Regions from separate parts of the Mus musculus genome. Here regions 1 and 3 are each reported to be linked to region 2. Evidence: microRNA targets listed by miRTarBase, many of them from high-throughput screens and not tested one by one. Region 2 holds a microRNA gene; each other region holds the end of a gene's coding sequence.
The links. Region 2 holds the annotated microRNA mmu-miR-362-5p (AAUCCUUGGAACCUAGGUGUGAAU, at 2,278-2,301, opposite strand). A microRNA usually pairs through its seed, bases 2 to 8, with sites in the 3' UTR of a target mRNA and lowers its output. Matches are read on the target gene's strand: a 7mer-m8 pairs with bases 2 to 8, a 7mer-A1 pairs with bases 2 to 7 and ends in A, and an 8mer does both.

Region 1: the mRNA of Ank3 is a reported target of mmu-miR-362-5p. The part of its 3' UTR that is shown has no 7-base or 8-base seed match.
Region 3: miRTarBase lists Caskin2 as a target of mmu-miR-362-5p. The part of its 3' UTR that is shown has no 7-base or 8-base seed match.

Annotation. Positions count from the first base shown.
Region 1 is chr10:70,014,670-70,019,740 of GRCm38, forward strand. It overlaps Ank3 (ankyrin 3, epithelial), which reads left to right. Exons shown (of 43, transcript NM_146005.3): 42 at 899-984. The coding sequence ends at 964. Among named protein-coding and RNA genes, the nearest start is that of Ccdc6, 80 kb to the right of the region's middle.
Region 2 is chrX:7,239,742-7,244,813 of GRCm38, forward strand. Mir362 (microRNA 362) reads right to left here and starts at 2,305; the gene lies at 2,241-2,305. All of the region lies in intron 2 of Clcn5 (chloride channel, voltage-sensitive 5), which reads right to left. Mir501 (microRNA 501) reads right to left here and starts at 1,610; the gene lies at 1,502-1,610.
Region 3 is chr11:115,795,347-115,800,417 of GRCm38, forward strand. Caskin2 (CASK-interacting protein 2) reads right to left here. Exons shown (of 20, transcript NM_080643.2): 19 at 5,014-5,071; 20 at 4,006-4,731. The coding sequence ends at 4,641. Tmem94 (transmembrane protein 94) reads left to right here. Exons shown (of 32, transcript NM_028014.3): 23 at 1-79; 24 at 279-468; 25 at 720-797; 26 at 1,044-1,129; 27 at 1,390-1,471; 28 at 1,784-1,932; 29 at 2,021-2,115; 30 at 2,217-2,310; 31 at 2,462-2,632; 32 at 2,929-3,687. The coding sequence ends at 3,001. Mir5621 (microRNA 5621) reads left to right here and starts at 478; the gene lies at 478-540.

The sequences.
Region 1 (5,071 bases), not on the chromosome of region 2:
AACTCCACTGTCGTGTCGTGGTTTGCGCCGCCCCAAGACCAGTGCACTAACATGAAACCTAACTCAACTCTGAACGTAGTTCACCCAACAAACTCTTTTCTGCCATAGAAGATATCTTGCTATTATTCTTTGCTGTTTCCCAAATCTTTATCCTATTTAATGGGTAGAAAGTAAATTATTAAATACTATGTTTATATATATATATATATATTTTTTTTTTTTTTTTAAAAGCAAACTGAAAACTTCTGAGGACCAGGTGAGAATAGAGAAAAGAACACTGAGTCTTCTGTTAGAGTAAAAACTAAATGTGAAGTGCCTTGATGTCAGAGAAGTGTGGACCTGGTATTCAGGAAAGACAGCTCCAATCTGTAGAAGTTGGTGCTGTCTTGGACCAGGATGGAGAAGAGATGGTAATTCTATAAACTAATTACAGAGAAGCTGTCGGACCACCCAGGGCACTTTGTCCTAGCTTCGTGCTTATTTGGGAAGTCCAAGTCACACTACCACAGACTAGTTATGGCTCCGCTGACCTACAAATCTCATCAGCTACAACCAATGGGGATCGTTAACGGTTGGGGTTCAGGTGCTTTGTGGGTATGTTTAGCAATTTCTTCCACCTTATGTTAGGAAACAGGCTGACTGCTCTTTGAAACCATTAACCCTCCGTGTTGTTATGAAGTCTCGTTATGCTGTCATTACCTTGAAAGTGCTGACGCATGCTGTGGCATGTTGGGGAGCTGCTCTGTGCAGTCAAAGCCAAGGTCATCTGTGTCTGAGGATGCGACACGGCCTGGTGCTCTCACCCATTTCTCCTTCCTAATCCAGCCTCCAGGAATCAGTGTGGGAAACTGCTTTCAAACTCTTCCACTGCAAACACGTAACATGTGCTCTCCTCCAGCAGGGAGAAGGCTATAAGGTGAAGACGAAGAAGGAAATCCGGAACGTGGAGAAGAAAACCCACTAGTGACAGTGACGTCAGTCCAGGTGGGAAGTACACTTACGTCAGCAGCTAGACTTAAAAATCTTGAGAATTTTCTGGGTTCTCGGAATAAGTATATTCCTATATTCCCTTTCTCCTTCTTTCCTGAAATCTCACTGGAAGATGAAATGAAATAAATCTTGTTTTTATTTCTTTACATGAATGCAGATGTATATATGTATATATGTAAGTGTGTATATCTATGCATGTGTATGTATGTATCTACATACATGCATATGCACATTGAACTTTAACTCAAGTTGGGTCTATAAACATTCTCCATGTTTATGGCTTCTGCAGAAGCACATGCAAGCATGACTTGAGTCTGCTACTCTCTCACCATGAGGCTCCCTGGTATGTACAGTCATTGTGGAAAGACAACAGATCTGATGGCCTGTGCCCAAGTTTGAGTGTCGAGTTCAAGGGCAGCCAAAGTTATACAGAGAAACCCTGTTTGGGGGTGGAGGGTGGAGGTCTCCACATCTAAGTTAAATTGGAATTCCATACACCTTTTTATGTAAGCATAGACACAATTAGGAGTCCAATCACACAGGCTTTCTAGAAGTTAAATGCTTATTAAGTACGCTGTTTACATGTGTGTGGACTCTTGCTCTTGTTTTTCTGGATTTCACATTAGTGCCTTTTTGATACAGATATGATCAGAAAGCTAATCTGGGGTGAGGACACAGCTTTGGGAAGTTGTATCTTCAGGGCCTCTCCTCTCTGTCCTTTCAGTCTCTGGGTCAAAGTGACAGAGAGTAGGAATTCTAGTCTCATTTTCTCACCTGTCCTCCCTGCCACCAAAAACTCCCTGATCCTCCATTACAGGGATAAGGGGTTGAGAAATAACCTCATTTTAGGTACCTACGGCTTAGGTTTTATTTCATTGTTTTGAAACGTGACCTGCGGGAGCCCAGGCTGGACTTCGGCTTCCTTTGTGCCTGAGGATGTCCCCGAACTCTTGATCCACTTGCCCTTCCCCCGTGCTAGCATTCCAGGTCAGTACCACACCATGCACAGTTATGCAGTCTCGAGGATCAAATGCAGTCTTGGAGACCAAACCGGGGGCTTCATGAATCTTTACCGTCTGAGCTGCATCTCCACCCTCCCAGGAAGATCCTTAGTTATCCCTGACAGATAACCTTTCCTTTGCATCCTGTGAGGCTTGCTTTCCGTAGAAACAGCAATCGCAGGATGCCTGCTGCACTAGACTCATGTTTGTGTTCACCACAGATGCCCTGGAAACAGAATTTACCATGTGGACTCCAGAGTCTTTCTTTGTGGCTAATTCTCTTGGATTGGCACCCTTAGTGTCCCCGGCTAACTTAAGCAGCGGGTCCTAAAAGGTTAAGAAAATTACCCACAGTCTCATAAAAGCAGCAGAACTAGGAAATAAGTCCTAACTGACTCCCTCCCGAATGCTCCTCCTCAGACTCACTGCAGACCTGACCTGGCGGGTCGCCCCAAGTCAACAGGAAGCAAATAGAGAAAGACCATCATCTCGGTCTCCGAGGTTGGGGTGGATGGGTTCAGTCACTTTATGAATTATAGATATGTTGTCATTTTAAGGGATAATTCACAAATAATTATAGTTTTGGCCAGGGAGGAAACTAAATAGAGAGCTCAGACTCAAGGATTTCTGTCTTTCTTTCCTCTCCTCTGTCCTTCTTTCTTAGGTAAAGGGAAGGGGGTTAAAAAGAGAAAATGGGAATAGAGTAATATTATAAGAAATTAGACAAACAGGGATAGATTATTACATTTATTCCTAAAGCATCTTATAGCCATAATCTTTGTATATTGATACAAAATTTAAAATTAGTTGTGCTACTCTTAGATAGAAGTTGTGCCTATACAACTCATTGGGGAATACAAGGCTCAGACCCAGGCCTTTCGATAGCTGCTATTACAAACTGTTTAGAATTAAGTAATGTAAGTTCATGGTCAGATAGTCAAACGCACGGTCATATTAGATTCTCATTTAGTTAATTACAATAAAATGTTTTCAAGGTTATTCAGACAGTAAATAGCTAAAAATAGTCAATGTTTAACAATTCCTTTAGGGGGCTGGAAAGATGGCTCAGCAGTTAAGAGCACTGACTACTCTGCCAAAGGTCCTGAGTTCAATTCCCAGCAACCACATGGTGGCTCACAGCTATCTGTAATGGGATCCGATGCCCTTTTCTGGTGTGTCTAAGGACAGAGGCAGTGTACTCATATAAATAAAAATAAATAAATCTTTAAAAAATGTAAACAATTCCATTAGGCTATATATAGATAGATGGTCTTCAAAATGAACTCCAAGTTACTCACCTGTGGGGATTTGATCTTCACTCTCTAAAACCCACAGGAGGTGACTTAATGTGCTAGGTAAAAGCGTCACCACTGAGCTAACCCGCACAGCCCAAGGCCTTTGGGGATACGCGCTAAACCTCAAAGTAGCCTAACCGCTAAGTACTAGCGTTACAGGCTGAGTGGTAGAGTACTTACCCAGCATGCACAAGGCTCTGCCTGGGTTCAGGCCCCAGCAGCAAATGCATCTCTTCACATACCTGTCCCCCACAAACTGGGAAATGCATGCGGGTAATTCTAGCTCTTTAGCCGCTGAGGCTGGACTATTGCAAGGTTTAGAGGACTCAGTTACCTATCCATCATTCCCAGTGGCAGTCTTTCTGGGCCTGGAGATCTCCGTGTGGCCATTGGGGACATAGAGGTGAATCGATAGGGGTGCCAGGTAGCTTACCAGCTCTATGGGTTTGGCCAAGTTATCCAGCTTGCATGTTGCCACTTCCTCAGAGGGAACAGTGAAGGAGCTTGGAACGACCCCTGGTTGAACAACAATAACCCTCTGTAGAAAGATAGTAGTAACATGCCTCCAACTTGTTTCAGAACTCACTCAGTTTTTCCACATAAATTGCTTAATAACAGTAGTTGCTAAGCCTGTAGGAACCCTCAATTGGGAGGCTCTATTATAAAAGTATTAGAAGAAGCAAGAAGGAAACAAGTGTAGCAGCTGGCCAAGCTCAGGCACAGCAGTGGCAGCAGGGGGAGATCTCAGCTTAGCCATCCATCCCTGCTTCAGGCGAGGGTGGTTTGCTACAGTCACTATCAATGGGTCTCATGGTAAACTGAGGCAGTCAGCAGACCAGGTTTCTACTCCTTTTCTTTACCAAGAAATGAAGCCCAAAGAGACCCAGACAAAGCCAGAGGAGGTAGTGACCATTCCTCTCCCCTTCAGAGCCTGAGGTAGTTCATCCCACTTGGGGCCTCTCTGGGACATTTTCCCAGAATGTATCTGAGATACAGATAACTTGCCATCTGTTTTCCGGATACAGGATGGAGACAGAATTGAAGCCAGGTATTTTGGCTCTTGCCATTTTAATTCTCTGTGTAGTAGGGACTTAATACTACCCTGTTATTAGGATTGAGGTAATTCACTTCACAGCAGTGCCAGATATATAATAAACGCTTAATAAAGAAAAATGAAGCAAATGCATTTTAAAATATGCATTCATCTGCTTCCAGTATGTCACTTAACCCCCTTGCTGGGAAAGAGCAAAGTTGAAAAGGCCTCATTTATTGGTACTAGCTGAAGAGGAAAACTGTTGTGAGATGGGTATTAGGCCATTAAGTTTTCAGCCAAGTGTGCACTGGTGCACGTCTCTAATCATAGCACTTTGGAGACGGAGGCAAGAAGATCCAGAATTCAAGGCAAGAATGAGACTCAGTCTCCAAAAAGAGAGAAAGGAAAGAAGGAAGGAAGGAGGGAGGGTGGAAGGGAGGGAGGGAGGGAATAAGGAAGGAGAGAGAAAAAAAGACAAGAAAAGAAAAACCGAAAACTAAAATTAAAGGAAAAGTAAACCTTAATTTTTGATTATAGTTTCATTTTGTAATGAAAATTACTGCTTTTTAAAAAGAAATAGGGCCAGGAAGATGGCTCCACAGGTGACTGTGCTTGCCACCAAGCCTAATGTAGTGGTTTGAATGAGAATGGCCCTGTAGGCCCATATTTGAATACTTGGCTCCACAGTTGATTGAACTGTTTGGGAAGGACTAGGAGGTGTGGCCTTATTGGAGGAAGTATGTCAGTGGGGG
Region 2 (5,072 bases):
AAAATATACATGATATAAAGACTACTATTTTTAACATGAAAGAGATTCACTTTTCTTTTGGGATCACATGTTGCCCAGGCCAGCTTGCAAATGTGTGTAGAAAAGTATGACCTATGGAGGTGGGTATAGGAGAATCAGCTTGAGGGACAGAGCTACACAGTAAGACAGTAAGCTCCTGTCTTCAAATGGGAGTAGTGATGGTAGTTGACAAGAAGTCACTTAGTCTACTGGTCTTCGGGCTGAAGGGATGAGGAGAGGGAACAACACAATAGGCTCCATATCCACTCTTCCTGTGAGCGAGTGACTCCTCTCCACGTAGGCCCATGTGTTTAGGCATATCTAGGGCCATGGGAGGGGGAATAGTTTGAGAAATCTCATCTATCAGACCCTGCACTGAGTCATTCATACAGAATAGAAAACAAGGAACAATAGACCTAGGTCATTCTTTTGAACAGCAGTTGGTGAGTCTATAATAGTCAAGGATCTTAGTGTGTTTATTAGTCTCCTAAGAGAGTAGCACCTCTGTTCATTTTGTTTCCTGCTACATCCTCTATGACTAACAGAGCTGTATCAAATAGTGCATACCTGAATATTTGTGAAAGGAAGGAAAAGGAACAGGGGTGTGGACATATAGGGGCTCTGTCCTTTAAAGTGCAGGCGAAGTGCCACCCTTTGGATTCCTTGGACAGGACTTACTATTGAAAACAGCACTTGTGCTGAGGATTAATGTTCCTGATGAATCAGGTCAGATAATCCTCTCTGTGGGCACAAGTCTGTGAATCCTCTCCTCTGTATACACTGCATTTATATGGGACTGTGTTAAAATATGGAAGAATCCAAGTGGACAGTGTACATGAAGTCCCAGTCTACAGTCCACTCATGCAGGCATAATGGATGTGACACAGCTCACTCTCCCTGGACCATTTGCTCCCTGAACCACATGTGGTTCATACTCCTGTGGACCAAATCCCTAGTTGAGTACCTGCCATACTGAATAAATAGACAGGAAACAGTGGAAGGAGGCGTAAAGGTCCTACATGAAGATAACTCAATGTCTGAACCCTTGCCCAGGTATATTGCATTCGCAAAGCACACTCATCCAAGTAGCAAGTACTAGAAAGGCACAGCCTGCACCTATGCCCTTGGCATGTGGGTTCAACAAGAAGGCTTACTGTTCTTGCCCTGTGCATTCCTCCAAGAGTTGAACTAAAGAAGAATTTCTCTTCCAGGTGTCGGTATGAGAACTAGAATGAAAAGCTGCGCACTTATGTCAATACACAGTTTACTATGTGCCCCACTTGTTCTTGATACCTGTTAGGGTCATAAGTGGAAATAAAGTTCTACCTATAAAATCTAGGTGGGAAGAGGCCAAATTTGTCACATTTACTCTCCCATGCACCATGCCCGTTGTATTTGTAGAAGGAAAGAAGGTGGGGGGAGGCATAAAAGAAGTATGCAAGCAGCAAACAGATGAGATATGATGCACAGACCTCCTGTCCTTCTCCATGCAGATCAGGCTCACCTTCCCCAAATCCTTGCCCGGGTGCATTGCATACAAATAGCATTTTCACCCAGGGACAAAGGATTAGAGAGGATGAGCAGAGCAGAAGGCCCAGGCACCTGTACCATGTTTGTGTGGTTCTGTATATAATATTTAATTTTCCTTGTCCTGATTCAGCCAAGCATCACCACCTATACCCAAGCTTGACATCCCTGATTTATATATGTATCTGCCCCCTTCCCACCATGAGCATCCTCTCTCAGAGAAAACTTCTACGTATACAAAATGGTATCTCTCCCAGATCATACTTGAGAATTTGTGGGGGCCTGATTTATGTTTGGAAGGTAGCAAGAAGGCTGGGATCTGAGAATGCATATACATACTGAAAGAGGGCACAGTGGAGGAGGATACTCCATTCCTTTCCAATGCCTTTATACAATTCAAGCTTTGTGGAACAGGGGTTATCACTGGATGTAACAAACGGGTTGCCTGAGTAGCAGCACCTAATGTGTGCTCCTCATCACATGATCTGACACTTAGCAAACTGGGAATCAAGAAAGCTCATGCTGAGAATAGAAGCATGTCTACCAAACATGATAAAGACCATTTTGCTGTTAGAAAATGTGTAGAACCAAGTCTGACAGCTAAAACCAAAATCAAATGGTGGCCAGGAGGAGGGAAGGTGGCAGGTGAGATGTGCAAGTATGGGCCATTCTACACGCAGACAAGGCTCAGCCTCTTTGAATCCTTGAACAGGTGTGTTGCACTGAAGCAGCATTCACACCTAGGTTCCAAGGATTCGAGAGGGGGAGCAAGCAAGAAGGCTCAGGAACCTGCCCTTCCTGTGTGTGGTCAATATGCTTGTGTGCAACACACTAAAAGAGAACGAGAGATGCGCTCTGTCCTTTACAAACACAAAGGTCTGGCTCTCAGAATCCTTGCTGAAGAACACTCTCACCCAGGTAGCAAGGATCAGAGAACTGAAGCAGGGCAAAAGGCTCACAGCAAATGAACGCATGGGCTCACCTTTGACACAAGGTGCTTATCTGTGATGAGAAAGAAGACAATGTTCTTGAGCTTCACATTAAGTATGTCTAGGCACCTGAGTTCAACTCCCAGCCTCCACATAAAAGAGCCAAGCGTGAGGACTCAAAGAAAGCTAGATCCCTTGGCCTAACTGGTGAGTGCCAAGTCCCTATTAGAGACTGTTTCAAAAAACAGGGTAGATGTCCCCAAAGGGGAAGCACCTCAGGTTGACCTCTGCACCCTCCACACACATACACAGAAAGAGAGAGAGAGAGAGAGAGAGAGAGAGAGACAGAGTGACAGACAGACACAGAGACAAAGAGAGACAGAGACAGAGAGACAGACAGACAGACAGACAGACAGAGACAGAGAAACCTGTCTAAATATATACATTCATATTTTGTTCTGAGATTATAAAAATATAAAGCCAGAGATACAAAATACTGAAAGAAAAAAAGACAGAGAGACAGAGAGAAGAGGCCATAAGCTCACAAGATGGCAGTAGAGATTGGCATCCTTTAACACACATCAGCATCTTGTTAAAGTTACTTCAGATACCTGGAGGACTTGGTACTAAGATAACTTACAGAGGTTTCTCATTAGTGAGCTCAAGATTTTGTATTTCTAAAAGGGGCTGGGTGATGCTGGGGACCTTACCAGCATCATGGATAAGACAGAGAAACTGTGGAGTTTGGTATCTACAAACCCTGTTTCAAACCTATACTTCACCATGTACTGGATTAAAGAATCTACCTGCTTTCTCCAAGGTCATGGACTACTTCTAAAAAATGAGAATAACAAATGCTATCTCTTTAAAGAGTACCAAAAAAATTAGGTAAGATGCAAGCCTAGAGTAGGATGCAGGACCTGGCCCCTGGCTATTATTTTTACCTCTTACACTACCATTTTTGTACACATGTGTCTAAATGAATGTCCTGTTTACAATAGTATGGTCATACTCATATATGCAAAAGCCAGGTGAAGGAGGCATGAATATCAGTGACTCGGAGAATCTGTAAAAGGCAATGCAAGGACTGGCTCTCTGGTAATTCTTCTTCAATGTGCCTAAATCAACGAAGTTCACACCCCTTTCTGTGAGGGATATGAAAGACAAAATCACAAGTTTCAATCTTTCACTTTCCTACTATATGTCACAGAGAGTGAAGAGAGTCAGGAGTAAGGAGAGAGGGGAGAAGTAGAGAAGGGGGGAGAGCGAATATAAATGAATGACAGTAAGGCATTTTTCTCTATGAGAAAACAAGTGTATCAAACAAAAGAAACCTTCTATGCTCACGGGCCTATATATGATGTACACCTAGCTATAGATGGGCTTCATTCATATTTGTTCTCCTATCTACCCAGCTGATGCAAAAGCATATCTATGACTGTCTAGGTATGTGTTTACAAAAATGTCAGTGTTAACAAACAAGTATACCTTCCTATAACAGCTCCGTCAAAGATGAAAACCAAGAGAGCCCACTACCCTTCCTTAGAGGTGTAAGAGAACAAGGTTAGGGGAGCAGGACTCTGTTCCTGCTAAGCTGTCAGTGGGCCTCTGCATTTGAAGGTTGCCTATGTGTGCTGAGAACGTGATGAATCAGGTTTGACACTTAGAAAGTGGAGGCTAAAGTAAGGAAGTGCATCCTGCAGCTTCTCAGGCATGTATATGTGATCGTACACAGTGAGAATGATTTTCATCCTCCTGTATGCACATGCTACAAAGACTGGACTGCCCAACTTACCACTGGCTCCACATATCAGCACACTATCATACAATCAGAACTATAGTCACATACTACATGGTGTTTGGTAAGCCACAAACTACATATACAATAGTAGTCACATAACATTTCATCACCTAGTAATCCTTATTAGTTTAACTATACACTCCCATGGTGGTTTAATAAAAATTGCCCTCACAGGTTCATATACTGGAGTGCTTGGTCCCTAGTAGGTAAAGCTGTTTTGGGAAGGATTAGAAGGTGTGGTGTGGCCTTGTTCGAGGAGTCAGCTCACTAGAGGTAGACATTAAGCTTTCAAAAACCCCAAGCCAGGCCCAAGCTTGTTTGTGTTCATGTTCTCTTTCTCTCTTCTCTCTCTCTCTCTCTCTCTCTCTCTCTCTCTCTCTCTCTCTCTCTCTCTCTCTCTCCATCAATATCTCCCCTGCCTCTGCCTCTAACTTGCAATAAGATATGAGCTCCCAGCTCTTGCCCCAGCATCATGCCTGCCTGCTTGCTGCCATGTTCCCTACCATGATGGTCATAGACTCACACTGAAATTTTAATAAGCCCCCAATTAAATTGTTTCCTTTATAAGTTGCCTTGGTTATGGTGTCTCTTCTCAGCAATAGAACAGTAACTAGGCAACTCCATAATATTCATACAACGACAAAAATAACTTAACAACCATATTTCTCAGAAATCCCCATTGTTAAGAAATACTTAGCTATAAATACACACAGGCAAACAAGAGAGCCTTCCATCTTTAAATTCTTTCTGAATCCCAGCTGCATGTAGAAAACACTAGCAGCAGGTATCACAGGGAA
Region 3 (5,071 bases), not on the chromosome of region 2:
AGTATGGGGAGGTGACTTGCTGCCTGGGGAGCTCGGCCAACCTGCGCAACAGCTGCCTCTTCCTCCAGAGTGATGTCAGGTCAGCGAGAGGCACTGGGACTGGGGGCCAAGCTCTGCTTCTCCGACCCTGGGTGGACAGCCTGCACGTAGCTAGAGGCTTGCCTTGACTCAGACCCTGGTCCCTGGGTCTGCCGGGGAAGAGGAAAGGGACGCTCCCATCTTGTGGTAGACAAGTTATAGAGTATCGCTCATGGGTGGATCTTCCCTCCACTGAGCAGCATTGCCCTGGATCCCTTATACCCATCCCGCTGCTCCTGGGAGACCTTTGGCTATGCCACCAGCACCACCATGGCCCAGGCCTCGGATGGCCTTTCTCCCCTGCAGCTATCAGGGCAGCTCAACAGCCTGCCTTGCTCCCTGACCTTCCGACAAGAAGAAAGCATCAGCATCATCCGGCTCATTGAGCAGGTGGGGCTCAGGAGGTCCTGGGGCCGCCCTGAAGGCAGAACATGAGAATTCTGGGCCCTCCAGACCTCATGCTTCCTGCCTGTGTGGCCTGCCTGGGAGGGACAAGTGAATCTCCCCAAGGCACTTGAGGCTGTCTCTGCTCCTTCCTCTTAAGAGCATCATGGGCACGTGGCTCTTAACTGAGGCTTGTTTGTTGTAGGGCCTGAGAGGGGCAGCATGCCCACATCCTAACCTGTCCCCTTGATCCTCAGGCTCGGCACGCTACCTACGGCATCCGAAAGTGCTTCCTCTTCCTGTTGCAGTGCCAGCTGACCCTCGTGGTCATTCAGGTAAGCCAGGCTCTGTACAGGCATTGGCCCTCTTCATAAGGAAGGGACAGTTAAGAGTCTGAGGAGTCTGGGGGTGCAGGATAGTCACGAGCCTCTGTGTACCCCTAGGCTTTTGAGATGATCCCACCTGTAAACATTTTCTCTTGTACCTGGTCCTCTGGGTCAAGATGTTGAGTCTCCTGAGCCAGGGCAAGGTGGGTGGCCTTGGGGGCTACAAATCTGGTGATGTTTTCTTTCCTGCTTCAGTTCCTGTCTTGTCTGGTGCAGCTGCCACCGCTCCTGAGTACCACAGACATTTTATGGCTATCCTGCTTTTGTTACCCTCTGCTCAGGTGAGAGGCCTGGAAGCCCCTCTGTGCCCTGCTAGTGAGCTTAGGTTGTCAGTGGGCGTCTCAGGGGGCCCAGGGGTTCCTGGCTGGGTGGCTCAGGGCTCACCTCTGGCGCAAGGAGGCACTGATGCAAGCAAGGGCCCCTTGGTCTGTCTCTCCTCAGTACTGGGCTTTATCTCACTGCCAAGAGTCCCTGTAGGCGTTCCTCTGAGAGCTGGGAGCCAGGTAGTAACGTCTGTCCCTTTACCCACACTTAATTTCAGCATCTCTCTATTGGGAAAACCACCACATAGCTCCATCATGTCTATGGCAACGGGCAAAAACCTTCAGTCCATTCCTAAGAAGGTAAGCCAGGCAGACCCTGCTCACCGGGGCTTCTCAGAGGGGCTGAGCATTGGGGCTGGGAGTAGCCCAACCTGGAAGGTTCTGCGGAGGTCAGCGATCTGAGAGGCGGTGGCCAACACCAAGGACGAGTCCTGCTGGGCATGTGGTCCCTGGGCCTTGACCCTCGGGGCGTGGGCACTTACCTGCTGAGGGCTTGCTAAACATTTAGAAAAGCTGAGCAGGTGCCAGGCCTGCCTCATAGCCTGCAGAGAGGCCGCCCTCCCACAGGAATGACCATCTTCCCCGTCCTCCCCATCCTCCCGTATGCCACAGACCCAGCACTACTTCCTGCTCTGCTTCCTGCTCAAGTTCAGCCTCACCATCAGCTCCTGCCTCGTCTGCTTCGGCTTCACGCTGCAGAGCTTTTGTGACAGCGCCCGGGCCCGCAACCTCACCAACTGCTCCTCAGTCATGCTTTGCAGGTGGGTCTTAGGAGTCCTGTCCTCCCCACCCCACCCAACCCCACCCTGTGGGCCCTCAGGAGGCCGAGCCTTTGCCTTCCTTTGGCAGCAATGATGACAGAGCGCCGGCCTGGTTCGAGGATTTTGCCAATGGGTTGCTATCCGCTCAGAAGCTCACAGCCGCCCTGATTGTTTTGCACACTGGTAAGGATTCTGCCTCATGGGGGCTGCTGCGAGTGGGGAGGCCTCAGGGTGGGAGGCAAGACTTTGGGAAGCCCTGACACCCCATTCGCCCATCTTTCTAGTCTTTATCTCCATCACTCATGTACACCGCACCAAGCCTCTGTGGAGAAAGAGCCCTTTGACAAACCTCTGGTGGGCCGTGACTGTGCCTGTGGTGTGAGTAGTGTTTAATGGGGGCTACAGGACAGTGCTGGGGTCACAGGTGGGGGGAAGACCAGGGGGTGGGGGGGACCTTCAACTAGTCGGACTTGGAAAGAGGGAAGAAAGCGAGGTCTCTGGGCTCACACGGGGCTGTCTCCTCCCACAGGCTGCTCGGTCAGGTGGTCCAGACAGTGGTGGACCTGCAGCTGTGGACACACAGGGACTCACGTGTCCACTTTGGCCTAGAAGATGTGCCCCTGCTCACATGGCTCCTGGGCTGCCTGTCCCTGGTCCTAGTGGTAGTCACCAACGAGATTGTAAAGTTACACGAGATTCGGTGAGCTTGTAGCTCCACTGGGCTCTGTCTGTACCCTGAACCTGTCACCTCAATGTCGGCACCCTGCTCAGTCCTCTGATTTGAAGGTCTACACCAGCCTGTTTGTTTTCCTGGTGCTGGATTGAGCCAGCTCCTGTAATACACTCCACCCCCGGCTATAGCCCTGGCAATCTTTACTTAGTAACCGAGATAGGTCCTGATCTTATAATCCTCCTGCCTCAGCCTTCAAGTAGCTAGAATCACAGGCCTGAGCCACCAGGCCAAGTTGTCAACTGTATCTCATTCTATTTCACCAGGGTCCGTGTCCGCTACCAGAAGCGCCAGAAGCTGCAGTTTGAGACCAAGCTGGGCATGAACTCGCCCTTCTGAGCCACTGGCCATGGTGGCCATAGCTGCCCAGCTTCCTGGGGACAGAGCCAGACCTACCAGGAAGTTGGTATCACAAATGTTTCAGGGTTTGTCTTTGTGCCTCATGGCATTGGAGGCTCAGCCGTGGGCACTGGAGACAATTGTCTTCCTGGCTTGGGCTTCTTTTTCACGAAAAGCCACAGGGTTGTAGCCACGGCCTGCCTGCTTCGGCTCTTCCCCGGCCTTGCCAGGGGCACTCTTGAATGTATGACCTCAGGCCCTTGGTAAAGGGATCCTCAGCCCCTCCCCCATGTGTTCCCCATCTTAGGGGCCCCCTCACTCGGCACCCTCTGCTCTTGCATCTACGGCAGCCTCAGTGTCTGTTGGAAAGCAGAGGCTACTGCTGTTCAAGATGCTGTATCCTCCTGCCCATGTCCCATCTTCCCCGGCAAGGGCCTGCCTGTGGTCCGAAGACCTTCCCTTCCTCTGGGCTTGAAGATGGAAAAGGTCCACCTCACCCTGGGGCCCCCATGTCAGCTGACCACAAGTCATCCACAGAGGACCCTGCCCAGGCCCATGTGGCCCTTGCCCTTGTTCTGGGAGACATTTTTTACTTTTTTTTTTTTTTTTTTCTTACTGGAAAATGAGCCTTTGGGGGAGTGAATGTCAACTGGTTTATATTAAAATTGTAAATTGCTTAAAAAACATCCTGTGGTGGATCCATGAAACAGCCAGGAAAGGCTCCCTCCCAGGGCTGCAGCTCTCGGCACTCTACACTGATGAGTGGCCCCCAGGACGGGGTGAAGGGATACCCCCGGACTTGGAGGTTTGCTGCACAGATGCAAACACAGCCCAGTCATGTGGAATGACTCTTTCATTGATGTTAGTTGGGGAAAGAGGTTAATAGTTACAGAGCCCAGGCTAGACCAACTGGGTCCTCCAGCAGGAAGTGGGTAGACGGTTCTTCTGTGGCCCGAAGGCCTTCCCCTACTGCATCCTCTCAGGCAGTTAATAGATAGAATAAATTCCATTTAAAATATATGCATTTCTCTCTGCTTGAAAAATATTATGTACAGTTGTAAGAGTCTGGGCCCTGGGGATCTGTTACCTCACTGCCCGATCCCAGCCAGCGCTGCCTCCCAGTGTGGGATGGCCAGGCAGGAGCAGAAAAGGCCACCGGCAGGAAGGCATGCCCCTGCTGTGTATTTACAGCTCCTATGTACACTTGCACGGAGGGGACTGGCCAACCACGCAGCCTCACAGAGCCCTAGGGTGACTCAGTGGTGGCCAGACAAATTCCCAGACCACAGGGACTTTAGACAAGGCAAGGAGGTGCATCCCCAAATCCCTGTCACCACCTCCTCCTAGAGGAGAATGTTCTACGAGGGTCCCTGTTCAGGGGCCATAGCTGTGCAGTCAGCTGCTCACGGGGAGAGCTTCGCTCCCACACAGCTGAGGCCCCTCAGTCAGGTTCTGACAAGTCCTCTCGGCCTGTCTGTGACTGCCAGCCACTGCTTGAAGCCATTGGAGGCCTCTGCTACGGAAGGATTCTCCAGCCCAACCAGACCTCTGCCTGTTCCCTGTGTGGCACGGGCTTCTTCCACGCTGGGCCGAGGGCGGTGAACACTGGCAGGTGGGAGAGTCACAGGCCAAGGTTTGCTCAGTCCAGCATAGCATCCAGCTGGTCCGCCAGGGCATCGAACATAGTGCTAATGTCATCCAGAATGTGCTTGGTAGACGTCCCTGTGGGGCTACAGCAAGGGAAAACCTTGATGAGATGGGCCAGTGGGTCTGCAGCCAAACACTGTGTACCTCAGGGCTTACTGCTTACAACCTCCCATCGATGAGCTCAGAGGCTCGGGGACAAGGAGTTACCCAAATCAGCGTGCCTGTAAAGTGACAGTCACCAGTGATCTCTGTAGGCCACTCTAAAACCTAGGACCCACTGAGGCCTCTGTAGCCCAAGATGTTGCATGCAGTGGCTCCTTCCGGTGCTCCTGGGCACAGCCCCCTACCCCACCCACCCTGCTCACCCGTCTCGTTCCTCGGTGCCAATGCTCTTCTCAGCTGCCCTCAGTGCGGCTTCCAAGG